Linked DNA regions of Diceros bicornis minor. The main gene of each other region encodes a partner of the protein of the gene in region 3 in a complex. Links are inferred from orthologs where the notes say so. Each region holds a gene or a part of one and is shown on either strand. Other genes may lie near its edges. The genes, in order: CWC27, RBM48, PLRG1 and BCAS2.

Evidence for each region.
Region 1: PLRG1 (region 3) and CWC27 share a complex: the UniProt entries of both Homo sapiens proteins name them as parts of the minor spliceosome. The link is inferred for Diceros bicornis minor from reciprocal best matches to the Homo sapiens genes PLRG1 and CWC27.
Region 2: PLRG1 (region 3) and RBM48 share a complex: the UniProt entries of both Homo sapiens proteins name them as parts of the minor spliceosome. The link is inferred for Diceros bicornis minor from reciprocal best matches to the Homo sapiens genes PLRG1 and RBM48.
Region 4: PLRG1 (region 3) and BCAS2 share a complex: the UniProt entries of both Homo sapiens proteins name them as parts of the PRP19-CDC5L splicing complex. The link is inferred for Diceros bicornis minor from reciprocal best matches to the Homo sapiens genes PLRG1 and BCAS2.

Annotation. Positions count from the first base shown.
Region 1 is NC_080759.1:12,125,618-12,132,727, reverse strand, and holds the start of CWC27 (spliceosome-associated protein CWC27 homolog), read left to right. Parts: upstream 1-4,098; 5' UTR 4,099-4,474; coding exon 4,475-4,516; intron 4,517-7,110. Other genes in the region: protein SREK1IP1, read right to left, coding at 3,837-3,849. UniProt on the Homo sapiens protein: As part of the spliceosome, plays a role in pre-mRNA splicing. Probable inactive PPIase with no peptidyl-prolyl cis-trans isomerase activity. As a component of the minor spliceosome, involved in the splicing of U12-type introns in pre-mRNAs.
Region 2 is NC_080742.1:29,967,018-29,974,708, forward strand, and holds the start of RBM48 (RNA-binding protein 48), read left to right. Parts: upstream 1-4,687; 5' UTR 4,688-4,813; coding exon 4,814-4,924; intron 4,925-5,456; coding exon 5,457-5,647; intron 5,648-6,410; exon of another isoform or gene 6,411-6,585; coding exon of another isoform or gene 6,586-6,599; intron 6,600-7,219; coding exon 7,220-7,365; intron 7,366-7,691. Other genes in the region: peroxisomal ATPase PEX1, read right to left, coding at 3,983-4,057, 4,327-4,455. UniProt on the Homo sapiens protein: As a component of the minor spliceosome, involved in the splicing of U12-type introns in pre-mRNAs.
Region 3 is NC_080750.1:42,618,163-42,626,100, reverse strand, and holds the start of PLRG1 (pleiotropic regulator 1), read left to right. Parts: upstream 1-4,924; 5' UTR 4,925-5,015; coding exon 5,016-5,024; intron 5,025-6,404; coding exon 6,405-6,511; intron 6,512-6,797; exon of another isoform or gene 6,798-6,869; intron 6,870-7,546; coding exon 7,547-7,689; intron 7,690-7,938. UniProt on the Homo sapiens protein: Involved in pre-mRNA splicing as component of the spliceosome. Component of the PRP19-CDC5L complex that forms an integral part of the spliceosome and is required for activating pre-mRNA splicing.
Region 4 is NC_080743.1:47,233,659-47,241,179, reverse strand, and holds the start of BCAS2 (pre-mRNA-splicing factor SPF27), read left to right. Parts: upstream 1-4,519; 5' UTR 4,520-4,569; coding exon 4,570-4,662; intron 4,663-4,772; coding exon 4,773-4,865; intron 4,866-7,521. Other genes in the region: DENND2C (DENN domain-containing protein 2C), read left to right, coding at 225-311, 1,587-1,618. UniProt on the Homo sapiens protein: Required for pre-mRNA splicing as component of the activated spliceosome. Component of the PRP19-CDC5L complex that forms an integral part of the spliceosome and is required for activating pre-mRNA splicing.

The DNA.
Region 1 (7,110 bases), on a different chromosome or scaffold from region 3:
CAGCCAGATACGAACAGTAAAGGAGGGACAGTGATAACAAAAGAGCGTAGGTAGAAAAGCATAGGATAGGTTCTGGGCATAGCTGGCCAATTCAAAAGATTGTAGAATGCACGAGAAAAGTGGCAGGAGGAAAGGGTAGCAAGAGCGATGAGGCCATGCCTAGGAGGGTGCACTTCATTCTTGCAGAGATGTGGAGCTTAGAAGTGAAGGTTAGAAGTGAAAGAAAGCTTAGTCATCAACTCCTTCACTACAGAGACAAGGAAACTGAGTCTCAGAAAGGTTATGCCGGTTGAAGAGAAATACAAAATTCACAGATATGGGTCAAGAACTAAGTTCCTGCCTCCCAGGAATCAGAAACATGATTTAGGAAAATTATTTCAGCAGCAACGTACAGCATAGACTAGAGAGAAAAGAAATTATGTATAGTATAGTTTAGGAGTAAAATGGATGTAGTGTAATTTAGAATTCTTCGATTACTAAGATGCTGTAGTAATGTGTTTTAAGAATATGACTCACTTTGATATGTCAGATGCAATGTTAATTTGGCTGTAGAAAATTCCCTTTCTTGGCTATATAGATTTCACTGAAGGAGAGAAAAACAGTTTTTGCGCCAACCACATCAGTAACATCCATTGCCACCTGTGCCAGGTCAACTCTTGATGGGGAATGGTGAATCATTAACATGAATGTCAGAACTAATTTCAACAGTTGTGAATGGGAAAAGCAGTATTTAAAAGAAACTAAACTTTGCTGAAATCTGTGTTTAGATGTCATTTCTTTAATAACACTAAGCGTCTCTGATTTCTCTAAGAGAACACACATTTCGTTGTGTTACCTACATAATGGAGCAAGCTGACACACAATTCTGTGCAAAAACAGCTGAAGTAGGTGACCATAAAACAGACAAGGCTGATTCCCATTTGTGGAAAGCAGCCTCATTACTTTACAGTTGTTCCTTGTAATAATCACCAGCAGGACCACCCACAAAATGCCATGATGAATCCATATGAGCATTATACCTAAAAATAAAAGAGCATAACATAATACTTGTCCTTTTTGATGATTATCTCAAAATGTTTCTGATGGAGCCCCATTTTCCTTTAATACACTGTCTGGATCGATCACTCAAGAAATTGTCTTGATATTTTCCATATCTATATTTTCTAATGGCACTCGCATTGTACTTTTACAGCGCTGTCATACCTATTATCTCAATTTTTGCTGGGTTTAAACAGTTTATCTATGTCTGGCCATCTAGCTTAATGGCACAATTTAATATTATTATACTTTGAAGCATTATTTTGAATTGAAAGAAAGTTAACATAACTATAACACTGGTCTAAGTTTAAGGGAATTTCAATAAGGACAAAAAAATCACTTTTGTCCTTTTTCTTAAGCAGCACATTTTCATTAGCAGACAAGTTTTATGAGGGCACAGACCATGACATTGTGTCCCCGAAAGTGCCTATACCATGTAGGTGCTCAAAATGCTTAAGTCATGAAACCAACAGTGACAGCAGGTCAACTTCGGACGCAGCTGTGTGAGGCAAAGATCACCAGGGCTGATCTGGCAATCTACTGTGCAGACTGGCCTTTCCCTGCTGGCCGTTTCCATGTTGATATTCTCCAGGCTTCAGCCACAGACCTTCCCTTCACCCTCTACACACTCTACCTGAGCAAAGGCATCCACTCCCATGGACTTAACTCCTATTATATGTGTGGATGACACCAAATTGTTCTTTGACTCGGGCTTCTTTCCTAAGCTACAAATTTTATCCCTTATTGTCTATTAGATATTTCCATTAGTATGTCTGACTATACCTCAACACAAGGCGCAAACTGAAATCATCATCATGCCGAAACCTGCTCTTTCTCAGGTGTTGCCTATGTTAGTAAATAGCCCCACCTAATTGCCTAACAATGAAACCCAGGTAATACCTCATTCCTCTAGTACTCACCTACATTGACTACATCACCACCGATTCCTAGTGATTCTACCACCAAAAATATATCTCCAGTCTATCTGCTTCTTTCTTCCTAAGACTGTACCTGAGGTATCATTGTAACTTACCAGAATTACTCCTAACTGGTGACTGTGCATCCAAACTAGCTCCCCTCCAACCTACTGTGCAGCCAGAATGATCTTTCCAAAATGTGAATCTGTTTAAAAACCTTAAATGACTTCCCCTGGTCCTTAGGAAAATGACCAAACTCTTTGTTATGGCTTACAAGGTCCATTAAGAGCTGGAAACTACCATGTAAATGACACTATAACAGGGCAAAATGGATAAGCACGTGGGGTCTAGAGGAGCCAGACTGATCTGTTACTTACTAGCTGTATCAATAGGCAAGTTACTTGATTTCTCTGAGGCTCAGTATCCTCACTGTAAGATGGAAATATTAATATCTATCTCACAGTGTGGGTGTGCATATTAAACTAGATGAAATACAATGCATGACACAGTATCTGACAGATCTGACACATAGTAAATGTTTAGTAAATATTAGCTACTGTTATCATCTCTCTAGTTAATGTCTCACTTCTCTCCCATTTGTACTCTGAGTTCCATGCATAGGAACATCTTCATTTCCTCTTCTCACACATTTCTTCTTCCTTTATGTATCTAGTCCCTCTGGCTGCAACTTCCCCTCCTACCACTCCACCCCTCCTGCATTCTTCAAGTCTCATCCTAAATGCCACATCCTTTGGAAAGTCCTTCTGTGCACTCCCTGTCTCCTGTTAGATGCTCTTACTATGTGCTCCTGAAAGCTTTGTATTTTCCCTACCATACACTTGTCTGACTTTCTAGTACTTTCTCCTTACAGCCAAATTGTAAATTCTCTGTGAAGAGCAAGTGTCTTGCTCACCACTGTATTCCCAATGCCTAGCACACAGTAGGCACTTAACACAGATTGTTATGTGTATGAATGAGTGTGTCTTTCCTCTCTCACAATTCCCCCCCACCCCCGTGCTCCTCCCCAAACTGCAGTTGGTAGAAAAGCACAACCCTCCCATAACAGCTATCTGTAAAATACGGTTCAGAAAAGGCTGCCACAGAACAAACATGCTCAAATAATACCGGGAAGGGCAGGTTAAAACAAGATTGGGGGGGCAGTAAATGAGGGGGGTGTATATTTCTCAAACTATCTCCTGCAACCAGTGTTCTGCAGAACACATCGCGGCAAAGCTGGTTTAAGGAGATGCCCTCCCCTTCTAGAACTTCCAAGTAAGCCGGTTGCTGTGGACGGGAAATCTCTCAGGCACTTATTTCGCAGGGTTCACTGTTTTTAAGTCAGTACCGACTGGACCCAGAATCTGAGAGCTGGAAGGAACCAGAGACATAAATCAACAAATCTCCGTTTACAGATGCAGACACTGAGGCCAAGAAGGGCAAAGCGACCGGCCCACGGCCACACAGCAACTGAATGCAACAAGCAGAGAGAGAAGAACCCCAGGCGCCCATCTCGTCCCTGCGACTTGCACTACAAACAATGCCTCTGGCCGCTGGGGTCGGTCTTTCTCAGCCACCGGCCCCTGGGCCTACGGTTACCGTCCCCCTCTCCTCCCCATGCCACCCTCCCTCCGCCACGACGCACCGGCCCCGTAAGCCATCCAGCGCAACTGGAGCTTGGCTGGCGCAGGGGAGATCGTTTCTTTCTTTCCTTCCGCGTTTATTTCCGGAGTGTAAACTTTTTCACGTAAACCACACGAACCTGTTAATTTTAACGCCTCCGCTTAAATCCCCATGGGCGCCACTCCCTGGTCCAGCGCGCCCCAACCTACCCTGCCCTCTCCCTTCCTCGCCCAGACCCCGGGGCCTGCCGTTGCTCGTCACCTGGGACTGCCATGGCGCTGTGAAAGGGGTCGCAGGAGCCCTAGGATTTCGAGAGCGCGCTCGCTTCCCGCCGGCCGTGAGGACAACGCACAGCTAGGGCGGCCTCTTCCTCCCACCCGCGCCGCGGCTCCTAGATGACAGTTCGGGGGGGGGCCCCTATAATTCTCTGGCGATAGCGGAACCAAGTAACCACTGATCCAGCTTCCGGGGGACGCATATTGCAGCTCACTCACGGTCCGAACCATTACTGCCAGCTTCGGGAGGTGAATGAGACCTGCACACGCATGTAGTGAAGTAAACAACACCAAGACTTAACGGATCGTTCTTTTTAAAATTGTAATAGAAATTAAATTAATCTACAGCGGCTTAATAATCTTTTCTCCTTTCTTGGAGGCTATCAGAATCCCCCTTCTCAGGGTTAGCGGTGCTCGGGTCCGGGAACAACATGGCGGCGCCCGTGAGGAGCTAGCTTAGGGAAAAGATAGCGTTTGGCGTCGCTGTCTTGCAGGATATTGACAGACTGGAGCTTTCCGCGACCACCCGACTTAAGGAAGCCTGTACTAATAGGTGGACAGCTTTAGTGATCGGCCGTCCGCTCTCATCCCCAATTGAGAGCAGAGTCTTGAGGACTGACCAGCATGAGCAACATCTACATCCAGGAGCCTCCCACCAACGGGAAGGTGAGAGCCTCGTCTGGGATACCTGGGCTCCCCAAAGTGATACCTCACTGACGAAGGGAGTCCTGGGATCTTAGGGTTGTGAGAGATCACAAGAAGTCTTGTTTTTACCCCTGCCTCTGAACAGGATTGCCTGGAAACCATCTATTGGCACTTCTCAGCATATACTTGAAAAAGTCCTCAAGGGAAGATTGATTTCTCCATCTACCAGCCTTCTGGCCCTATTTCTTGCTTTAACCTAACTCATGCAGGTGTTTTCTAGAGTCTTAGGTAAAAACCTAAGTACAAATTAAAATTTGACATTTTTCGCATAACTTAGAGATGGCTCTTTCTCCGTTTATTGAACGCCAGCTAGGCACCGGGCACTTATTAGGTTCTGGGGATACAAATATAGATGGATAAGGTCTAGTTGTTGCCCTAGAAGAGCTTATGGTTTAGTTGGGAGGCAGGCAGGTAAAGAAAAGCCTTAGGATATGTCTGGTAGGTGTGCTTATGGAGAGAGGAGCACATTGCTGTGCTATTACGGAGAAGTGAGCAGCTGGGAAAGTAGGGAAAACTTCATGGAGGAGGTATCTTTTGAGCTGGTCTTAAAACATGAGATGATTGTTAGAGAAAATGGGGAATGGGAAATGTTCCCACATTAGAATGATTTCCTGATTGATTTGACAGTCAAGCTATGTCAATTCCCATCCCAGGTGTTTTATATGCAGTATGAGGCAGAGAACTAAGTAGTGGAAGGAATATCACCTGAATTCTTTTTTTTTTTTTTTTTGTGAGGAAGATCAGCCCTGAGCTAACATCCATGCCAATCCTCTGCTTTTTGCTGAGGAAGACTGGCCCTGAGCTAACATCCGTGCCCATCTTCCTCCACTTTATGTGGGATGCCTTCGCAGCATGGCCTGACAAGCGGCGCGCGCCCGGATCCAAACTCCGGCTGCCAGCAGCAGAGCTCACGCACTTAACTGCTAAGCCATGGGGCCGGCCCTGGCCTTTTCTATCTACTTTCTATGAAATAGCAAACCTCATTCATCTCCTGCATCCCAGCATTCCCTGGCTCCCTAAACCCTTTTAGTTTTTTTCTGCAGTACTTATTATTGATTGTTTATTGTCTCCTCCACCTGCCCCCATAAAATGCAAGTACTGTGAGGGCAGAGACCAGCATCTAGAAGGGTGCTTGATACATAGTAGAAGGAGTTCAGATATGTACTGGATGAATGGATGAATGGATGAATTAATACTATGTTTCTCTTAACTTTTGAGAAGTATTAAACATCAGTGACTTTGGGGTTATACTGCTGCTGGTCAAGGGCAGACTTAGTTGCTTTACTCTGGAGGAAGATTTGAGGTGGTCATAAAGATAAAAAGCTTTAACAAAGATACATGCCTGAACAGGAGATCTTTCATTCAACAAGTATTTATTGAGCGCCTAGCTCATGTGGATCTATGCTAGGTTTTAGGGATACAATGGAAAGAAAAACCAGCATTGTCTCTATTATCATGGAGTCAGTTGAGTGAAGTATACATTGACCGAATAATCATGCAAATAAGTCTGTGCAAACTGTGATCAATACAGTCTTTCTTCTAAACAGAATTGGGCTGAAGGAGAACATAGGCCAAATTTTCCTTCAAGCACAGTTTGGGACTTTTTTCCAGCTGAGGGGTGATTGAAGACATTGAAGCTTCAAAGTTCTGTACTATAGAGAGTATGGCAAGAATTTTGGCCTGGAATGAATTTAATACAGATATAATAAGCTTGCTCAATGAATGTTAGTTTAGTACCTGTGGTGTCTAATGCTACGTTAGGTACTGAAAGGATACAGAGATATTCAGAATAAATGGGACAAAATTCCTCCCTTCAAAGAGTATAGTGTCAACTTGGGAAGTAATTGACGTATTATACCAGTGGTTGACCCCTGGCAATTGTCCATAAATGTGCTGTGTTTTGCTGTAATGCTATAACTCTGGCCTCTGAAGATGAGGCACAGAAATATACCACTTGATAGAAATTTCCTTATCCACTGGAGATGAAATCTCCACATATTATGATCATTTAATCTAAATTATATATTAACATGTGTTTATTCTTAAGAAGCATTTTATTATCAAAGTATTGTCTTATTTGGGAGCTCTAAGAAAAGGAGCCACCGACGCCTGACAAAGTAGTGATGGTGAAAGGAGGGAGCTGTGTGCCTTCTTTTTTAATTCAGTAGCTTCTTGGTGGAAAGATTAAGAAACCCTGGTAAACAAGGTGGCCCAACCATGTATGCATTCTTTTTACTGGATGTAAGTTTGCTGTGGCCAAAAACATTGTATGAGAATAATAATTACAACAATACTAGCTACCATTTTTTGAGCATTTCCTATTTGTCAGGTACTGTTCTAAGTGGTCTACATATATATAATAACTCATTTTGGCCTTGCAACAAACCTATGAGAATATGCTTATGCCTGTTTTTAGATAAGGAAGTTGAGTCACAGAAATGTTAGATATCACACCCAAGGTAACGAAGCTAATCTTACCTTCGTAAGTGGAATGGTCAGTATTTGATTTTGGGCAGCCTGACTCCAGAATCTGAAGAGGGAGGGCTGATGTGCAG
Region 2 (7,691 bases), on a different chromosome or scaffold from region 3:
AGCTGAGGTCACAAGAGTGAAGGCGACCAACCCTCCAGGTGCTTTCCAAGGGGCTTCCTCAGAGTCAGTGATGTCTAATCCAGATCAACTCAGGTCATACGAAGAAACATTTAAAACCAGAGGTTAAATAAAGAAATATGAAATACACTCTGAAATATCAAAAAAGAGAATTCCACCAACACACTGGAAAAAGGAAAAATCAACTTTATTAAACAGGAAAAATACTTCAATTATTCATTTGGTCAAAATGTAGTAACCAGCTCCATCAAGTCATAACACATGTTTAGTGGGATTTAGTAAACTTTGCAGACTAATGTCCTCAGTCCATTTTTATGTCAACAATTTTTCACTTGAACCACAGAGCCCCTGGGCACTCAGGTAGAGAGGAGGAACAAACAGACTGGAGAGAAAGGAGTCTCTTTTCCAGGAGATTAATCAACAAATGATTGACTGCCCGCTTTTGCCCGAACCTGTGTGTAGGGCTTTGCCTGCTCAGCAATAACCTACGTGCCCTATTACAATCCTGTGTCCTCCTGGCCCCATCCTGGGCAGGACGCCAACCAGCTGGGATGGCCTGGCCAACCCAGATCTCACTCAAAGAACATCATGTCTTGAAGGAACACAGAGCCCTTCCACGTGAGCTGCTGTTCCAGGGAACGCTGGCTGCACCAAGGGCAGTCTCTCTTGGCAAGCACATAGACTTTGTCCCCTGCCTATATAAACAACCCCTCTCTGCCCACAGTAGCAGGTGCACAACTCTGTCCAGCCAGCTGCCCCTGGACACTCCCTATACATAAGTCCCAATAAACCTATATGTCTCGTACGCCGTCTCCAGGTCTTTTCTCTGGTCTCTTCACTACCTATTTCACACTCCTTGCATAACTGGGTGTGTGGCCAGACACTGTGGTACCTGGCCAGGTCTGAGGCCTGGGTTATCTCTTGCTAACACAAAGGAAATGACAAATCTATACCCGGCCATTTCTGGATGGCGATTTAGGTTCATTTGTTTGCATTCAGCATGGATACAAATCCTTTCCCCCGTTAGCAATTAGAGCAAGCAGTGAGCCCAGAGTACAGACAAAGTAACCGACCTAAAGCAGTGGTTCTCAACTGAGGGTGATTTTGATCCCCAGGAGACATTTAGCAACGTCTGGAGATATTTTTGGTTGTCACTACTGGGCGGAGGGGTGCTACTGGCATCTAGTGGACAGAGGTCAAGGATGCTGCTAATTATCTTACAATACCCAGGACAGGCCCCCACAACAAAAAATTATCCAGCCTAAAATGTCAACCGTGCCAAAGTGACGAAATCCTGAGTTAAAGGATCTACTGCGTACCTAATCCTGAAACAAAGGCTTGGATAAACAAAAGAAGACAATACTTGAAACACAGAACAGAGTGTAACAAGTGAGATGTGTCACATAAACAGCACTGAAGTTCTGAAAAGGAGACAAATGTGGGCAAGAGAGAATCTGAAAGCTATGTGGAGGAGGTAGGATTACGCTCAGTTTTTAACAGCATGGAATAAGGAAAAATGTTTTGGGGAAGAATAGTGTGAGTAAGAGTACAGAAGTGGAAGAGAGCTGGGTGAGAAGTGAGAAGGCTAGTCTGAATGACACAGAGTGAGTTCTAGACAAGATGGCAAATTAACAGCATGCAAATGGTACCAGCCTGAGAGTGCCAGTTTCCTTATGTGTACAGAAATGACCTAGACACCTAAGGTCCCTTTCATCACCAACATCTATGATTCTAGAAGAGTGAGTCTCAACTCTTTTGTGCATCCAAGTAGCCTGAAGATATTTTAAAAATTACAGATGCCTGAAGCCCACTTCCCAAGATTCTGATTCAGTAGGTCTACAGAAGGGCCAGAATATCTGTATTTTTCAAAGCTTCAAGGTAAGTCTCACACAGGCCAGAAAACCATTGTTCTGACCCTCTTACCATTACAGCACTATGTGTATTATGTACTCAATACTTTAGCCCAAATAATTCAACCTACTAACTCCCAACTCGTGACTTTCTGCTTTAATAATTATCTATGCCCTCTAAACCAATAATTCTGAGAACCTAAATAACCAGAAGTGAAAACAATGTTTTATAAACAAAGATATGCTATTTTTTACTTTTTATTTACTTATTTATTTCTTTTGGTGAGAAAGATTGTCTCTGCAGTAACACCCGTGCCAATCTTCCTCTACTTTGTATGTGGGATGCCACCACAGCATGGCTTGATGAGCAGCATGTAGGTCTGCACCCAGGATCCGAACCCATGAACCGCGGGCCTCCGAAGCAGAGCATGCAAACTTAACCACTACACCACCAGCCAGCCCTATTTTTAACTTTTTATTAAAATGTAACTACAGTATCACTTTTAATGTCTAAAAATTGAATACAACATATATGTTTAATCACAGTGAACAATTCAACAAATTATGGCAAATTGATGATAGAATACTAATTAACCACTAAAAATGATGATTACCTTTAACTGTATATGCGTGTGTGTGTAGGACTTCATTTCGTTAAAAATAAAGATTAGAAACAAAACTGGAAGATGTGGCCCAAACTGCTAATATTAGTTACCTCTAGGTTTGGGGATTATGGGTAACTTTTATTTTCTTGTTTATAATTTTCTTTGTTTTCTAAATTTTCTATGAAACATATGTATTAATTTTATAATTGGGGAGAAAAGTTGGCCTATTCTGCTGATGTAGGCTGGATAGAAAAAACAATTCATTCCAAGGCAGAAAAGATTTAAGTTTCAAAAGAGATCCATGAATTAATTCTTATGAATAACTTTTTTTTTTTAAAGATTTTATTTATTTATTTTTTCCCCCCAAAGCCCCAGTAGATAGTTGTATGTCATAGCTGCATATCCTTCTAGTTGCTGTATGTGGGACGCAGCCTCAGCATGGCCGGAGAAGCGGTGTGTCGGTGTGCGCCCGGGATCCGAACCAGGGCCGCCAGGAGCGGAGCGCGTACACTTAACCGCTAAGCCATGGGGCCGGCCCTTATGAATAACTATTAAAGGGTCAAAATTTAAAAGAAAGATCAAGACCACTAAATTCTTAAATAGTGATGAATGTAACAGAGCATCCACATCTTAAGATCAAGTTATTAGAGTTGCTGTAAAGAAGTATTCCTATAAACTCATTAGGTGGGGAGTCTATTCCTATAAACTGGTTAGGTGGGGATTTGAAGGCATGTTGAAAATCTCCATCAAAGCCCAGAGCACGGGGCAGGGTCCACCTGAGACTTGCTGCCACTAACTAACTCGTTTCCAGCCATGAAGGAAGCTCATCAGGGCCAAAAGATCGTCTACTTTATGGTAAAAGAAATAACGGAAGGATCTGCTGAATTTGGTATGCTCTAAAAGGAGGGAGGGGGGGCGCAATAATCTAGAAAAATAGTTATGGGGAAGTAGCTAACGTGGAAAGGTTGGATACTTGAAATTACTGCAAACTCTTAAATATTTCCTGCATGGATTAGCCAGTGGTGGATACCATGCATCCAGGATTTCCGAGGATTTCCAATATTCTATCCTTTTGTCCCCATAAGCACACTCAAACTCGTACACTAGGTGCCTCTAGTTTTAATTATGAAAATAGGCTGATGTTACTCCACCAGTGGTTAGAGGTATGAACCACCACCACCACAACGTCCACCAGGGCGACTGACAGCAGAGGTTCAAGTATACCTAATTACATACATCCAAATATGCATAATCCCACTGCACATTCCTGGCACCCCTCGGAGGTGTTCTGAGTGTTGGAGACACAGAGAAGAACCTTCATTTTATTAACCTATCCCGCTCACGGGACACCGTGCTTAGTCCCTGTTAACCTACAGGGGCTCCGCGAACATATTTGCACACCACTCCCCCCCGGGGGCCCGGACCACAGCAGTGCAGGCACCTGGAAATCGCTGCCGGGGAAAACATTTAAAACAAAAACAAAAACGACTTCTCAAGAGCTTTTCCAACCTGGAGTGAGGATATCTGAAGGCAGAGGTAGAATATTAGGATGTTTGAAAGCCCAGTTTCACCGAGTGAAAAGACCTGGAATGAGGCAAGGTAACGCGAAGACCCGGGGCTGCACTGGACATGGAGAGGGCTGCAGACACTGCCCAGACCGGCCCTGCCCTCGAGGGGCCCTCCGACTGGCTTCTGAAAGCTCGGCGGCGCCGGGAAGGCAGCCCGCGGCCGCGGCCGGGAGAGGCCTGAGCGGCCGCCGCGTCCCTGCAAGACCTCGGCCCCGTCCGACCCCAGACTGCCGACTAGGTGCCCCGAGTCGGGGCTGGGAACCTCGTCTGGGGCCGCCGCGTTACCTGCAGCAGGTGCAGCTGGGCCACGAGGCGCCGCGGCAAGTGGAGGAAGCAGTCGCGAGCGTTGGTGAAGGCCACGGTCACGGCCACTCCGCCTCCCCCCGCAACCGCCAGGCGATCGCTGCCCCACATCGTCAGCAAGCCCGGAGGCCCCGGCCGCCCACGCCAGCTGACGCCGGACGCCCGGGCAGGCCGAGCGCCTCGGAGCCGGAGGCGGCCGATCGCCCCGCCCCCTGTGCCCGCGGCGCCTCTCGCCGCGCTCCGCTAGGGGGACGGCCAAGCAAGCCTTGTGCCGCTCTGCGCGCCTCTCCGCCGCGCCGCTGGGGGCGGCACCTCTTGCACCGAGTCCTCGCTCGCAGGAAACGATGGCCCCCCGCTGTCGATTTCTAGCCAATCCCGGCACGCCTTGACCTATCCCTCTCTCTTATTGGATACACGGCAGTGCGGCGAGGCGGATGTTGTCGTCTTTGCAAGAGCCCAAACCGGCAAGATGGCGTCGAGTGGTCGGGAGCTTGGGGGCGTATTCGACCACCACGTCCAGCGGGCCGTATGCGACACAAGGGCCAAGTATCGGGAGGGGCGACGGCCTCGCGCTGTCAAGGTAAAGTGATTTTGGTTTCCTTCGCTGTCCTCGGTAACTTTATGTGAGCTCTAGCTCCACAAGCCTAGTTTACGTAAATAAAAGCTTGAAAGGCTGCGGTCATATCCGTCACTCATTGGAGATGGGTATGAGTAACACTGGTACTCAGGTACCGAAGATTCTCACGACCCTTTTGGTCAGCTGCTAGAACGTCAGCTCCGCGAGAACGGGCCTTTATTTTAGTCACTGTATCTTCCATGTTTACAGTAGTACTTGGCATACGGCAAGTGAATATTTGTTAATTCTTTCCAGTAACTTCTACGGAGCCCACTTCTGGAATACATGTCGAAGGAATATTGTCTGTGCTTTAGTTAGAGGCCCTCACACGTGGGCTGAATTATTCTTTATGCAGAGAGAGGGGCAGAATTTTTGATTTGTTTCCTGCAGACCGACTGAACAGAGTATTTGTTGTTTTCAAAGCTTTTTTAAAAAACAGCAGATTTGTCCTAGGCTTATTTAGAAAATACGTTTAATGTGTCTGCGTTTCTTTTAGGTATATACAGTCAATTTGGAATCTCGATACTTATTAATACAAGGAGTTCCTGCAGTGGGAGCGATGAAGGAATTAGTTGAGCGATTTGCTCTATATGGTGCAATTGAACAGTATAATGCTCTAGATGAATATCCAGCAGAAGACTTTACAGAAGTTTATCTTATTAAATTTATGAATTTACAAAGTGCAAGGTAATATGCCAGTTAAGCAGTGTCTCATTTCCTCTATTTCCATTGCTATCATTTTGGCCCAAGGTTTCTTTTATTCATACCTGAATTACCCAATAACCTAACATGGCCCTGTTGTATTATCTTCCTCCTTTCTTCTTGAATGTTAGCCTTGTCAAAACTATTTCCATCATGTCATTCCCATGCATAGCAGTTTTCTGTCGTGTAGTGTGTAGATTAAAAATTGGGTTTGGAGTAAGTTTTCCAGTTCCCCTACTTACTAACATCATGACCTTGGACAAGTTAATTCCTTTAAGCCTGTTTTTCCTATTCTCTAAAATCTATGTGGTAAAAGGGCCTACTTACTGAGGTTGTGTGGAGATGAAATGAGATAATCCCTATAAAAGGCTTAGCATAGTGCCTCCTGTTTAGAACGCAATAAACATTAGCTATTGAGGTTCTTATTGTTATGTGCCTATGAGGATGGACCCCATCTTTTCCAGCCTTCTGTGTAACATGAACTCTCTGTTCCAACAAGGCTGAAGTATGAAATGCATTGTCTGTTTTTAGGTATACCTCTATTGTTGTCACTGATTTGCTCCAACACCCATCCTTCCCTGGCTATTACAATTAATATTTTCTTTTCTGTGCTACAAATAGCAGTTGTAGTCTGCCACAAAAACACTTGATGGGATCATGTATTGTTCTCAGGTTGCTCTTATATGTAATCTCACTGCCCTAACCAGCTTGCCAGCTCCTCATGGTTAAGGAATTACCTTTTCTTTGTATCTCCTGCAGCACCTAGTACAGTATGCTGTGGAGTTCAACATTGGGATTTGAATCCTAGGTCCATAAACTAATGTGAGTGTGGCCAAGTTATAAATCTCCCCAGTCCTCAGTTGTATTATAGGGTTGTTGTGAAGTGTTGATTCAAGTGAAGCACTTAGGACACTGCTTGGTGCATGGTAAAATCTCTGTAAGTATTTCTTTTCGTTATCCCTGGGCATATAAGTACTTAAGTATTTATTATAGTAGTGCCTGGCCAGTCGTAGTTGTTTAATAAGTGTTTGTTGAATGAATACTATTCTCTCATTTTCTCGTTGATTAGTTATATATTCAATATTTCCTCAATTATTGAAAGCTTTACAATTACAGTATTTTAATTAATTTTTTATATATGAATCCCTTTATAGGAATACATTGTGCTGAAAAGGCTAAATTGGGTATGAGCTAACTCTGAAGGGCCATTTAACTTAACACAGAGAAGATTTCTATTTCATGATCACAGACTGTGTACCTCCGGCTAACTGCTGGATCCTGAGCTGGTTAAAAGGAGTCTGGATATGTGTGGATGACTTAGCTCAAAACCTGTTAACACTATTGGGAGAGGGCAGGGAAGGCTCTAAGAGTATACACTGAATCAGTAGGGTCAATACCATCCATAAGCAGAGCCTCTTAATCCCCAAACCATGGGATGTACATACACATAGCAAAAGCTGGACTTTGGTCTTTAGATCAATGCATTGTATACTAGTTAAGCTTTCATCCTAAGTAAATCTAGATTAATCAGCCATGCTATCATGTACTTCTGTTTAGGATAGCCAAGAGGAAAATGGATGAACAGAGTTTCTTTGGTGGATTGCTTCATGTGTGTTACGCTCCAGAATTTGAGACTGTTGAAGAAACTAGAAAAAAATTACAAGAAAGAAAGGCTTATGTAGCAAGAACTACTAACAATAAAGGTATGGAAAGCCTGTTACTAAACACCTCCTATGTGTCAGGGCCTCTGCTAGGTATATCATCATGGAGCTCTCAGTCTAGTGGGAAGAGAGGCAAGTAAATGATCACAATATTCAATAACTGTAAACTACAGAGTTCTGTGCAGCAGTCTGCAGAACCTGGGCTGGGAAGAGAGAGAGGCTGCTTGGTGGAAGACTTCCTACAGGACGAAAGAGGTGGCTGAGTTTTGAAGGATAGGGAGATATTACCCAGAAGGGGAGAGGAAGAGATGGAAAGGTTGGCCAGGTAGCATGTTTAAAGGCCCAGAAGAATAAGTGAGCATCATACA
Region 3 (7,938 bases):
GAACAGCTTTTGAAAAACTATACTAAATCGTTGTTGGTCTCTGTGTGTATTTTTCTTTTCTTATCCTGAGCTCCCGTTTGAGAACCACTATCCAAGGGGAGATGCTGTCATTGGTTAGCCACCTGCAATGGGAAGGCATATTGCAGGGAAGAAGAGTAGGAGCTAGCTCTGTGTCTTGTGGAGTGTCTCCCTCTATTGACTTGAAAGATGTCAGTTTGCTTTTCTTAAGGGATCCAATACAGAGCCTGGCAATAAAGGAAAAATAGAACATTTTCTCCTTCAACCTAATGCTGATCACAAGAGCTAGAGAAAACACAGAGTTGCTCTTCTGCTTCTGTCACATTGAGACTCAAATCCACAAAGGGTATAATCAACACCTGTTGGAGCGCTGCTCCCTTCCCCTGGAATGACCCCTAAAATGCAGAAGTGGGGCTCCAGTGGTCCTGTTCACGTTGTGATACCCTTACCATCGAGCCATAGGTGACTGAGCTATGGGCAGACCCTGTACCAAGCCAACCCTACCGGCTTCTCTCCCCCAATTTAATGTTTGCAAAGGAAATAAGCAGAGAATCAGGTCAATTGGCTTCATGTCATATTCATGGCAGCATTCTAGAGAGAAAGTCTACCAACTCCAGCAGCAGAAATAACCAAAACTTCTAAACGTGATCATTTGATTCTTCTGTCAAACCTGTGAGACACCTGATGTCCTCCTAATAGTACCTATGTCCCTGTTATCTTTTGGTGAGTTAGGCTGAGATGCTTCTGGGGTTTGCTGAACTAATCCAAAAGAAAAATCAAGATCAAATTTTTAAGACTCAGACTGACTATTTTTTTTAAAGCATAAATTGCACATTAGAAAGAGAAGCTGTATTTTCAAACTGCAATAAATCACAAAAAGTTTTTATACAGTAAGTATATAGCATCAGCAGTAAAACTCTGTAGAAAATGAAAACTTCTATTTTATTTGGAGTATTTTAGTAACATTCATTTAAAAAATCTTTCAGTATTTAATAACTATTTCTTGAATTAAGAATATTTTCTGTAAAATGTGCTCAGGATTAGGTTAATGGCATAACATACATATTTATAATTTTGAGTCTTCTTATCCAAGAAAAAAGTATGCATTTTCATTGATTCAAACCTTTTTTTATGTCCCTTAAGTTTTTTTAACCTAGGTCTTGCATATTTTTCATTTATTGCTGTTTTAAATAAGATATTTTCCCTATTATATTTTTCAACTGCATATATGAAAGCTTGATTTTTGAATATTTTTTTTGTACTCAGATAGCTTAGTGAACCCTTTTATTATTTCCAGTAGTTTTTCTAGTTGATTTCTTGTTTGTTTTTTTTTCAGGCATACCATCATACTGTTTGCAAATAAAGATAGCTTTGCTTCATTATTGCTATTTTATACTGCTTACATCTTCTTTCATCCAACTGCACGACTAGTACTTTCAGGAAAAAATAAGTGTGGACGATAATGATGAATAGCAGGAATTCTAGTTTTGTGGCTGACTAATGAGAATGTTTTTAATGTTAATCTATAAACTTGATGCTGGCTTTTGGTGGTATATTTTTAAAAGAAAGCCTAAAAATGCCTAAATTATAATAGTAAAATATTCAAACCATCAAAATGCCTTAATCTTCTTAATTATTGACGTCAAGAAGTTTTTCTGCCAACTAAACCCATTTTTGCAAATGATATATTTTTACCAATAAATTAGTATCTGATAACTTAATGTCAGAATTAACTTTTATATAAACTAAATAAAATTTGGCACTGACATGCCTAAATACAATGAAAAATATTTCATTTTAATAAAATTTACAATGATCAGAAAGACAGACCATCCTCATACAAGCAATTCACTGCCTTACACACAGATAAGGGTTAAGTTAAATTAATGGTTGTTGAAATAGTAGCATCTTTTCAAGGGTGAGCACATACCATATATATCCAGACACACACAACATCCTTCCTACAGATTTAATACCTGCAACCCCACATCAAAATTAAGGTCTCAACACCTTCCATCCCCATATTTAAGTGTCTAAAACTTAACACCTTACTTATTCAATCATTCAACAAATATTGAAAGCCTACCAGTTGCAAGTCAACTAGATACTGAGTGTGTAATAATGAATATCACACCATACTGACCCCATATGTCTATTGGGGAATACAGATAATTAAACAAATATACTATCAAACATGGTAGCGTATGAACTCAGCCAAGAAAACTGAAAATGTCACACCGCTATTTTTCTCTGTCAGCATAAACACTGACATATTTTTGCAAAATAGAAACACAAAGACAAATTATGAGTCATGATCATGTTCAATTTTGATACTTGTTTTTGTGACATGGATGGGACTTCATAAAGTAGAGGAAGGCAAAATTGTGATAAGCAACATTTCCCTCCTCGCTCTCTCTGTGTCACACACACACACACCTTGCTAAGAAGTTTATAACTCATAGTGCAGCTTAATCATGTCCCGGGCCTTGCCAGGCATTAGCTGGAAGAATAGCTCCCTCACTGTCTCCTGTAGTTCCAGAAGCTTTCTTCTCAACTGTGTTGCGAAAAAGCACTTACCAACACTACCTCGGCATCTGGGTCCATTCTTAGCATTGTAATAAGCAATCAAAGACCAAACTTCTGGAAGAAATGCCCAAGTATTCTTTTTCACAGGTTCTGACCTCAGGAATTCAAAAAGAAATGATAACTTCCACCATTCCTCCCTTTTAAATTAGTGAGGAGTTGCAAATCTGAAATTCATGGGAAAAAGGACTCAGTGAGCCAAACAACTCTAAAGAATATGATATATAGAGTAGTGTCTAAGAAAGATTATATATTTAACCCTCTAAGCTGAGAGAAACAGTAAGAAGAAATAATAATATTCATCATTTTTATCAGCATAAAAATCAGAAAACTATTCCTATAAAAAATCTGATAAAAAGCTGATGAAAATGACTGAAATCTTCACTTATGTGACCTATCACTACTCAAGGGCAAATGATACAAGCATTTGAAAGAGAATAAAGAGATCGCCTGTATTGATGAGTAAAAGAAAGTAGCTTAACCAACGAAAGGAGGACTTCCTTAAAATTTGTACTATTGTTTTCACACAAATAGACTTAATAATATTTACATTAATAAATTAGTCACCATGCCTGCTCTGGGGACAATCCTCCTACTCTTATGAAGAGCAGCAGTGACCCCTACTGCTCAAATAAGGCAGCTCTCGGTGTCTGCCAGGACAGGGATTCTTAACCTGTTTTGGTTCCTGGATCCTTTTATGAATCCAAAGAAACCTACAGATCTCTTCACCAGAAAAAAATTCAGGTTTTTATATATATAAAAAAATTTGCAATATACGTAATTACATGAATTACAATATACGTAATTCATGGATCCCTGACATAACTAGGGTCACTAAGCTCTATCTATCCAAAACATTCAAGTAGATAATATAATTTTGTAGATTCACAAGAGCTTTTTAAAAGGAGCATAATCTAGTGCAATTTACCTCAATTATTACAATTATTTTATGAGTTTGGGCTTATAAATTTTTTTCAGGATTAACTAACAAGTTAATAGGCCCAACTAGATAGTTATTATATTGCCTTAGATATATTAGAATCTTGCTTACATTTCTATAACTTCATTGCTATTTAAAATCATGTTCTTTTGTATAGTTATTACTATCTATAGGTAAGTTACAATATGATTCAGTTTCCCAAGTATATATTTTATAATTATGGCATTTCCTTGCCAAGGCCTATCATCAGAAAATCAGTTACAGAAAATCATTTCTTAAGCCAAACTCACCCTCAAAATCAGAGATGGCTGTATTTTTCAAGTAGAAACATGACCTTAATGTTTTCAATGAATTAAAAAGTATTAAATTTCTAAATAAGATTATCAATTCACAAAGCTATACTTCTGATAAATTTCCCCCCCATAAAGTATATGCAGTATGCTCTGGGGACAAGATGAGTTGAATTGGTTATGGTTAAGGAACAAGCAGATCCAGTGAAATGTTTGTCTATTCAAGTTTGCAAACGTTCAACTCCATCAATTTTTGTTTTTACATAGAAAAATAATCGGACAGGATTGATCACAAACTGCAGAGTTTACCTGGATAGGAAACAAAGCAAAATACCAACACTTGGGCACCAGGATGTGTATGAATAAAAATGGCGGAAGTCTTCAGTTGTATCTTTCTTACACCAGAAAAGCTATACCCTGGCATTGTTGAAGCCACGTTAATCAGCAGACAACTAGGAAATAGCCAAGAGTTATGCAGTTCTGAGAGATTAGGGAAAAGAAATCTATTAGTGGAAAATAAATTTTGGATTTTGTCATATGCTGTTAAAATTCTTTTACAAAATTTCTCAAATTGAAACAACTATTCTGCAACATTCACTCAACAAGTGTTTAGTGGACAGTGTCAGTGGGATTGTTTTTAGGCATTAAGGCTACAAAGGCGTCCAAATGCGTCCAGTCAAGTTTAGCCAAATAGTGAAGTCAGGCGACATAAATAGCGGAGGCAACCCCCAAAGAGGGCAAGACAGTGGAAAAGCCTTACGGCTGATGGAGGTTTGCTCTCTCCAGACCTAGAACTGATTCCTGAGGTTCTATGAAGAAAAAGCATTAATCTCTGGGGAACACAGCACAAACTACACCCCTAAACCGAAACAATTAAGGCTGAGAGTAAGGCAAAAAAACCGTCGTCTCAAAAACTCTTCAAAGAGGAGAGTAAAACCTTCGACCCATACATTCCAGTAGCTTCCGCTTCTCAGTCCCGAAACTCCGCCCTAGAGGCGGCCCGAGAAGAAAGACCCGCCTCTCGCCGCCAGAAGGCCTGTGGGCCAATAGCGCGCGTGCACGGAGTTGCGTCACATCCGGCGCTGGGGCGCCCGATTCCGGAAGGGGCTGTGCAGTTGTGGCGGCGGTTTCTGCGTTGGTTAGTGTTTCTTTTCTGCGGGAGCAGCGAGATACACAGCAGCATCATGGTGGAGGTAAAGTGACGCTTGGGTGGTTAGGAGTAGTTTATTTCTGGACTGGTTTTCTTTGGCGGCGGGCTTTGTGGATCGAGGGTGTTGGGAGTCTGGGGAGAGTAGAGGCTGCGAGGGGAGCCTGTTTGGCCGAGGCCGGGGAGTCTCTTCTTCAGGTGGGAGAGGCTGGATGAGAGCACGAGTTGGAGGTTCCGTCCTGGCGGGAAGCCTGAGATAATTCCTCCCGTCCTCATTTGATCCTTGGGCACTGGACCTGGGCACTGTCCTCGGAGGCAGGACTTCTGTTGATGTTCCACTGCGGGTACTCGCCCCCTGCGGGGTAGTGTCAGTGATTCTGTGTCCCAAGAGACTGGCGGTCGTCTCTGATGTTCACATTGTGTCTTAGTTCAGCCCTTCCCCAGGAAAATCTGCCATTCTTAAACTTTTGCAGTTTTCCTTAGCTTGAACAACCATTCTATTAGCAGGCCTTGTCTTATCTCAGAAATATTTCTTGATTCTTGTCCATACCTGCTGCCGTCACCTTAATTCAGACCAACATCATCTTTCTCCTGGACTGGTGCAGTAGCTCCCAGCTGGTCTCCTTGCTTCCATTTTTGTACTCCCCTCCCCCCATAAATTAATCTGTTTAAAATATACGTTGGTCATGCTTTTCTTGCTTAAAACCTTTTACTGGCCTTATGTTACTAGAGCAAAATTACAGATTGTTGCAATGGTCTAAAAAAGCTTACCTGATCTGGACCTTGTCTACCCTTGTAACCTCATCTTGCATCACAACCCGCCCTCCCAGCGAACATATATAACTGCACAGCTCCCGGCATTTTTTCATTTACTGAATACCTTTGTACATCACCTTTTCTCTCTGCCTGGATTGTTTTCTATTCTGTGCTAAGCTGACTTCCTCTTTCTGCTTAAATATCACCTCAGAGAGATTTTTCATAACTATCCTAAGTTCTTCCTCTGTTCTCTGTCTCAGCCCCTTGCTTGTTTCCTTCATAGCACTTATCAAAATGTGGAGTTATTTTGCTTATTTTTATTTGTCTGTTTCCTCTTGAGCACAGGGACCATGACTGCCTTTTCATCATTCTCTTGGTAGCTTCTAACACAGTACCTGCCAGACACATAGTAGGAGCTCAGTAAATATTTATTGAGTAAATGACTAATCTCAGGCATCACTCAGTTGGTATACCTGGGGCTCTGGCCAAAGAGGAGCTTCCTCCTCTTCCCTGAACTTGACTCTTATAGTTTGCTGCAAATAGCTGTGGTGAGTGGTACGAAGTTTTTTACATATTTTAACATGTAACGTGTATAACTAATTTGACTTTAATTTAGGTTACAATGTATGTAATTTGTAGCTAGATATATAATTACACTGTTTCTTTCTAGGAGGTACAGAAACATTCTGTGCACACACTTGTGTTCAGGTCACTGAAGAGGACCCATGACATGTTTGTAGCTGATAATGGAAAGCCTGTGCCTTTGGATGAAGAGAGGTAGGTGTAGTTCCTTTTCAATTGCTAGAATATTTAAACTTCTAATATTGGGGGAAGAGAGCAGGGAGAGGGGGAACTTTAAAGATTAGTGAGTAATACTAACATAGGATATCTATTCAATAATGAGTGGTGTTTGGGCATAATTTATGCTGATTTAACTTTTTTTGGCCTTATCTTTTACAGTAAAACTCCCATTAATTAATTGCATTTTACAAATACCCAGTAATTAGGAGAGTCCCTTCTAGGTGTTATATTTTATAATCAATCACTTTGTATGTGCTTTCAGCTTCCCGCTGCTCTCAGAGCCTTGCTGAGCTGAAATTGTACCTGGCCAGTACCTCTACTCCCATCTTTTCTCGTTAGTATGGTGAAGATTTTTGAGTGGTGGCACATTTTTGGTTCTACATCTCCAGCTCCAGTCTGGGATTGCATTATGTGCAGTGTTCCTTCTTTGTCCTTTACCTTCTATTAAAATCTGCTTAGTTCCTCAAACAAGCATATATATATAATTTATAAGGTAGACTATTCTTAAAAGTAATATAATAAGTGCATTTCTTTTTAAAATATTGAAGTAAGTACTTTGATTAGTTCTAACTGACTCTTTTAGATACACATCCAGTAAACATTTCTGTGGAAGCTTTTACTATATTTTTATATTTAGACATTTGACGGAAAGTTTATTGACTTTGAGGTTTTTTTAAAGGATATATTAGTTTCTATATATTTTTAAATCAGACCCTTGATAACTCATCATGAAAGATTTTATATTTATTGGTTAACAAACTGAAATATTACTTAGACTTAATGAATGCTAAGTGGTGGATTGTGAACAAAAGTGTGGAAATGCACTTGGAAATTTTGAGCTTTTTAAAATCTCTTTAACTTTAAAATCATAATAGAAACTTTTTCTACATGATTAGGCAAACTTAAACTATTTAAGTACTTGTTTCCTGGCTATCTGTGAGTATATTTACATTGGTGAGTATGTTTAAAGTACTCAAAGATACATTCTTCATGTTTGTAATTTTTAAATAGTCACAAACGAAAAATGGCAATCAAGCTGCGTAATGAGTATGGTCCTGTGTTGCATATGCCTACTTCAAAAGAAAATTTTAAAGAAAAGGGCCCTCAGAATACATCAGATTCGTATGGTCATAAACAGTATCCTGCCAATCAAGGTGAGTATGGTGTTGTCTGAAATGTCAGGACTTACATGTGAATTTTAAAAATAGAAATGTGAAACGTCTTATTAGTGCCCCTCCTGGCAGGATTAATTAAAGCCATATTCTATTTAATAGCTGTACCAGTATTATAATGGAAGTCTAGATTTCCTCATTGAAGTAGTGAGTGAGATTATTGGTTGGTGGACTTTTTCTTATACAACATAAAAAAGTGGTAGTATAATAATAGCAGAACTTCTTAGGATA
Region 4 (7,521 bases), on a different chromosome or scaffold from region 3:
GTTCTCCCTTTGTATTTAGCACTTGAAAGGCTTGAAAATAATATAAATAAAAAATAGCATAAAGCTACAAGGGCTCAAAATCTGAGTTGTTTATTATGGGAAATATTTATTTTGTAATATTATTTTAGCTATGGAAGTACATTGGTAGTGAGACCAGAGTTTCATTTAGTTGATTTTCAGTCTTGAGTTTTGGACAATTTCACCAACATGAATTTTCCTTGTAGGTTTGTTTGAGGTCCGGGCCCTCCAGTATTTGGAAACAATTCCTGAATCTGAGCCCAGTGGGGTGAATAGAATTTTGCGGAGTCTTGGTGAGTTGCTGAGTTTTCCTGTTAGATAAATGTGGCTGAAAAAGCTTTTGCAGTAAGCATGCCTCATCACAAAAGCTTTATAATCAGATCAACAATGTAACCTCAAGTAGGTTGACCAGAAACCATGACACTAGTTCCAAAGTGTCTTTTGGAAAAAAGAAGTCTCTTTCTCAGAGGTTGGGATTATCCATCAGAGTTGTCCATGGGGCTGTTTTCCACAGATAAACCTCCCTCATGATATAAGAATTTGCATATCATGAGTATTATTCTTTTCTAGGTCACATCCCTGAGAGAATCTTATAAAACTGCGGACCTTTTTCCCAGGAAAATATACTTGGAGCATTCAAACAAATTTTGCATATAAATTTAGGGTGTTCATGGACCCCCCCTGAAGCCCATCCATGGACTCCACACCTGGTTTAGGGCCAGCCCTGGTGGCCTAGTGGTTAAGTTCAGTGTGCTCTGCTCCGGCGGCCCAGGTTCAGTTCCCGGGCACAGACCTACACCACTCGTCTGTCAGTGGCCATGCAGTGGCTCACATACAAAAAGAGGAAGATTGGCAGCAAATGTTAGCTCAGAGCAAATCTTCCTCGGCAAAAAACAAAACAAAACAAAAACACCTGGTATAAAGGAAGTCTGAGGCAAAAGGATTTCCTGCAAGTCTGTAATTTTACACTTCATAAAGAAACACTTTATGATTTTTCAATTTTAGTTAACTTTTAATTATCTAGTATGATATAGGAGAACAGTAGTGTGGTAGCCCAAAACATGAAGAACCTATATTCTATGATATTTATATTGGTCTTTGAAATATATCTCCCTAATTAAAATTAGGCCCTATCCTTAACTAGCTGAGAGACCATGGACATATTATACTTCGGCTGTTATTTCATCTTTATACCACGGGGTTAGATAAGATCAGTGGTACTCAGCTCTGACTACAATATTATAATCTCTGGGGAGCTTAAATAAAAATCATTCCCCCCACACCCTGCTCCCCCTGGGTCCAAGAAATCTCTGGGGAGCAGGCCAAGTGATTTTACCTACAGTTAGGGTTGAAAACCACTGGATTAGATGATGTCTGAGTTCTCTTCCACCTCTACAATTAGACACTTGCAGAGTTTTTTTTGGTGGTTAAACACAGCTGATAGCTTGAGATGGCAGCTTATTCCTGGGCTGTTCTGAATGACGAGGTTGTTAATCTCTTGCCTCAAATAATGTACAATAAATAAAAACAAACTAATGAGAGTTCACTCTACTTTTTTCTCCTTTTAGGAAGTAAAATGAAATTTCTGCAGAAGAAATGAAATCTTTGATTGACTATCTCCATCCTAAATAGAACAGATAATGCCAAAGAAAATATTTTCAGAAAGTCAGGATGCCGTGAAATATTCTACAAAATCCTTGAAAGTTGAAAAGGTTACCAAGTGGGCCAGGTTCTTGGAGGAGGATTCTGCTGTTGCTGCCGTAGTAATCACTGGAGAATTGTTGGGAGTAATCTGGAACCAATGCTGTCTCTACTCTGCCTCCGATTTTCTTTAAGTATTTGATTCTTGGGTTCATTCTTTGTGTTTTGTGCTTAGACTATGAAAGCACTTGAATTTTACAAGCGAAAGACTTAGTGTTGCATTTTTTAAAAAAATAGCTCAAAGATGAGCACAATGAGAGAAATGCTGAGTTTAAGGTCCTAGAGAGGCATGCTAGAAGTGGAGAATACTAGCCCTACACACATAATTCTCATCACTGAAACACCATGGCAGCTTTAAACCTATGGGCTGTTTGAGCTGAGCTAAGGAATATACTCATCATATATATCCTTTTTTTTTTTTTTTGTCTAATGTTCTGTCTAGGGGAATTTCACTTATGCAGAAGCCCTATTTATTAGCACTATTACTGAGTATCTTATACAAGTAGACATCTTGCAGCTCCTCCACATTGTGTGGCACTTGAGTAGCTTGTCCCTTACGTGTCAACATTAAACTTTGTGGAATTATAGCTAATAAGAATATGTCCTTTCAAGGGCATGAGAACTACCTTTTGTGTGTGTGTGTGTCCGCCATGTGCCATGCACTATGGTATATGTATGTGTGTCACCTTATTGATTCTTTAGATCAACTTTATAAGATATTTGCATCTCCATTTTACTAATGAAGAAACTGGAATTCAAAGAGGTTAAATAACTTGCCCAAAGTTATACAGCAGAGCCAGAACTGAAGCCAGGACTACTAGTTTATGAACACAGAGAAAGTTGGTTAGTCCTGCAGATGGAAATGTGAGCTCTGTGGGATTATGTAGCTATTGAAAAAGTTTTCTTTTAAGCCGAAGTGTACCAGAGGCAACTCTTAGGGACTTCAAACTGTGGGTGCCTAGATAAGACTCTTTTTTGGTTCCCCTAGATTCGGTGGACTTTTTGCTCTAATTAAATTGGATTCAGAATATGGATATTTTCTGGGCACACATGACATAATCACGCCGACCCTTAATATCTATCTAAAGAAGTAGTAGTGATTGGAAAGGGGAATTTGTCAGTGATGGTACAATTTTCATTGATAAATACTATAGCAAGTGTCAGTTTGTTTTCTTCTATAGCAAGTGTCAGTTTGTTTTCTTCAATTCCTGCTGATGGTTTTAACTGGCATAAAAAATATTTATTCAAACTTAACAAAACCTTACAAGTTGCGTTATGATCAGTTTATTGACTTGTACAGTGTTGTCATTACAACCCGTTCAGGTGTGCATGAATGAATCTAAAGCAGACATCATTTAAGACTGGTGCTGTATATTATAGTTACTATAGATGTGGGTCCAGAAAATAGAACTGAGCCAATGTCTTTTAAAAAATGTTTATTAAGCAGCTTACCCCAGTGGGGCTCTTACCAGACATCTCCCCATTTGGTCTCTTCTGACACTCCAACCCTGAGGGGACAATTAGTAATTGGGAATTGAGTGTTTATAAAATGGGGGTAGGAGGTATTACTATGGTAGATCCTGGCCAACCCTATGTGAGGGGACCTTTGCTTCAGGGATGGGGGTCTTATTTTATCCGTGCAATCTGAAGCTGCTTCCTTTTCTTAGGCCTGTCTTATTTTGTTTTTGTGAAGTGTTATGAATTCTGGACATGTTTGTAAAAAGAATTGCTCAAGATTTGCATAAAATGTTGTTTACAGATCTTTTAATGAATAAACACAAAAATTCCATGGATCTCTTGGAGAATTTTAAATAAAACTGCATAAAATGTAGACATCTTTTACTTCCCTTAAATCTACAGCTAGCACATTTATCTAATGGTAGGTTAAAAGATAACCCAAATCGAGTCTAGATTAACCAGACTTAATAACCGTGGCCAACATTTCCAGGCTCCTGACAGACAAAGCCTGGGTCTAGGACTGCACACCGGGCAGGGTATATATATAGTCCGACTATGTATAGTATATATATATATATACTGGGAGCCACCGACTAGAGACAGTGCACCGGGAGCAGCATGGGTGGTTGGGAGGCAATGCGGAGCGCTATTCTATTGCTGGAAGTCTTAAAGGCAAAATGATTGGATTTGATATGCGTCTTGAAGATAAAATGACAGGATTTTGAAAAGTTGGGGTTGGTGGGCTGTTATCAATCTCGCCCTGGGGGTAGATCTGGTTCCTTTTGTTACGCAGACTCCAGAGCTTCGAAATTTTAACTGGAGACTGGCGCCTACTTCTCGAGTCTGTGAAAGAACTACACTTATCCAATGCGATGGTTCTCTGGGCGCCGAGAACGAAGAATAGTGGAAGTACACCAAGGAAATCCAGGAGAGAGAAGCCTGGCACAAAGTAAGAGAAGTTTAAGGGGAAAAGGCGGAAGGTTAGGGGAGTAAGACGAGGTAAGAAAACACTCTCTTCCCGCCAAATCCTGCAGCCAGTTCCCTCCGAAATTTTAAAGGATTCCCCTCCCAGGTATCAGCGTTCTGGAGGAAACCAAAAGTCTTAACTACTCTCCAAACTGCTGCCAGTCGGAAGCAAAAAAGTGGAGCGTGCGGAGACAGGAAATTGAGATGTTCCGCTGACTCTAGGAAACCATGTCGTGACGTCACGTCCGACCAAAACAAAATGGCCGGGCAATTCCTAGTGCCTGGGCGAGCGTGCCTTCGGCATTAGCAACTGAGCATGCGCCAAAGCCACTGCCCAGGCGACGTGCTTTACGTCGGTGATGGGCGCAGGCGTATTTCGGTGGGCCTGAGTTTGCGCCGACTCAGAAAGCCCAGGCGAGCTCAAGAATGGCGGGTACTGGTCTGGTGGCCGGAGAAGTTGTGGTGGATGCCCTGCCGTATTTTGACCAAGGTTATGAAGCGCCCGGTGTGCGGGAAGCGGTGAGTTCGGGGGTGTCTGTGTTGCTGACTCAGCGCTCGCTGACCCTTCGTGCTGAAAGAGGCGCCTTACAATTTGCTGGCTGTACCCTGGTCCCTGTTCTCCTTTTTAGGCTGCGGCGCTGGTAGAGGAGGAAACTCGCAGATACCGACCTACTAAGAACTACCTGAGCTACCTGACAGCCCCGGATTATTCTGCTTTTGAAGTAAGTGTGATGTCTTGAGCCCAGCGTATGAACCAGGATCCTGTGAATCGTTCTTTTGGGTTGAGAGCCTTAGCCACGTAAAAGTGAATTTTAAATTCCGGCTTTAACTATTGCTTGCTTAGCTACTACTTCCGCTGTTATAAGGTATCACCAGCGCATTGAAAACCGTTAGATAAGCTTCTTCTGGGGTTCTTATTCTGAGACCCACAGAAGGACTTTCTGGAGCTGTCAACAAGCTAACAATGCAAAAATTAGTGTGTACGTTTTTCCGAGATGGGTTCCTTGCGTAAATTCTCGAAGAGATCCTTTACTCTCTAAGGTCCGCTCTAAAACAAATGATCTAGGGTTTTTTAATATATGTAAGTCTCATTGCCTAAGCTCTTGAGAACCACTGGAGGGCGGCGTTTAAGTGCACCCAAGATACTATTCAGGGTCTAATCAGCTAAATGAAGTGTAAAATATCAATTCTAAATTAGTGAATTCTGGTAAACATTTTAGTACATACATGTTTGGGTTTTTTTCCCCATTGTAGGTAACCATTTATTTATGAAAGAATGCTGTTATTAAAACGCAGTATTTAGGGCTGGCCCCGTGGCTTAGCGGTTAAGTGCGCACGCTCCGGTGGTGGCGACCCGGGTTCGGATCCCGGGTGCGCACCGACGCACCGCTTCTCCGGCCATGCTGAGGCCGCGTCCCACAAACAGCCACTGGAAAGATGTGCAGCTATGACATACAACTATATCTACTGGGGCTTTGGGGGAACAAATAAGTAAATTTAAAAAAAAAGGCAGTATTTATGTTGAAGTAACGTGAAAAAACATTGGTTAAGTTTTAAGTAGGAGAGAGATGTTGCTATGATACGGTATTTTCCCATGCTCTTTCTAAATGTTGTTACCTAGTTATAGTCATTACCACATTAAGAACTAAGCACAGTAATGCTTATTAGATTGATTTCTGAAAGTTTCAGATAACTGCATTCAATCACAAACTTTTAAATATTTGAACCAGGGCTGGCCCTGTGGCTTGGTGGTTAAGTGCGCGCGCTGCGATGCTGGTGGCCCGGGTTCGGATCCCGGGTGCGCATCGAGGCACCGCTTCTCCGTTCATCCTGAGGCCGAGTCCCACATACAGCAACTAGAAGGATGTGCAGCTACGACACACAACTATCCACTGGGGCTTTGGGGGGAAAAAATAAAATAAAATAAAATCTTTAAAAAAAAAATAAATAAATAAATATTTGAATCAGTTTTAGCATTTTTAGCTCTCTTAAATACAATGCATGCTTCCTATCTTTATAATTAGTATACTGATTATGTAACCCTTTTTAATAGTAGGAGCTAATAGTGTACTGGGCTTACTATTTCAGTCCTAAAAACAACCCTGTGAACTATGTATGTGTATTATCCCAATTTTTTAAAAAGGGAAACTATAGCTGAGAGAGGGTAACTAATTTGCTTAAGACCTTAACCACTCTTCAAACTGCCTTTGAAACTGTTCTTCTTTTAATTCATTTAACAATTATTCATGAAGGGCTATTCTATGCCAGGTATTGGGGAACAGGATGGGCAAGGTCCATAGTCATGGAGCTTATATTCTAGAGTGTGGAGACAGACAAATAATCAAAGAATATCAGATTATTAATAAAGCTATATAGAGGATTGTAAAGTAGTGATGTGATTTGGAGTGACTGGGTGACTATTTAGATAGGATGGTTGAGGAAGACCTCTCTGAGATGAGAATGCTCCATGGACAGGGATCTTCTTTGTCTTCTTCTCCACTGTATCATCATCATTTAGAAGGGTGCATGGCACACAATAGGCACCTAAATGTTTATCAATTGAACGTACAAAGAGCTTCTAAGACAGTTTTATTTAACGAATGCTTACTGTGTGCCAGACATGCCCAGAGCTCTTTTCATGACTTAGCTCCATGAGTGTTGGCTCAGTCTTTGGAGAGAGTTGAGTTAAAATTCCAGATCTGTCTCGTACTGGCCATGTGAGTTAAGTAAGGGCTCCTGTGTTACATGGCTCCAGACTGCTTGTACTGCATTTTTATAGTTTCTTATCTAATTGTTAGTTGTTACTCCGTTTCTGTTACTGTACATAGCCTTCTAGCTAGAATGCTAGAGCTACATGTAACTCAACAATAGTCCGAAAAAAGGCTTTCTCCAATAAGAAATGCTCGATGCAAAACTTTTAAACAAGGAATGTGTGATTCCAGAAGGCCTTTTTTGCTTACTCTTTAGTCTAATTGTTAAGATAGTTGAATCCCTCGAAAAATTAAAATTACATGAGATAACTAAGATAATACCGTAAATGAATATTTCACTTAAGCAATTCTGTATTCTCAGGGCAGGAAATGTGCAGAACTCTGTGGAATAGGATATTGACCAAAACATTGGACCTAAAGAAGTTGAGCTATACCACATTTTTTGAAAATAGTAAAATTATTAGAGCAGCTAGCAGAACCAGTTCCTTTTGTCTCTTCCCCCCTTCTCCATTCTTTGCAAAGAGTAAAGTGTGAAAATAGCAGCCTGAACCAAAAAGAAAGTATAAGTTTAGGCTCATAGCCCTAACACTAATTGTTTTATGTCCAAGTCCTTTCTTCTCTTCCCTTACCCCCAGTGAATACTTAGAACCATGGTTCTCAACACTTG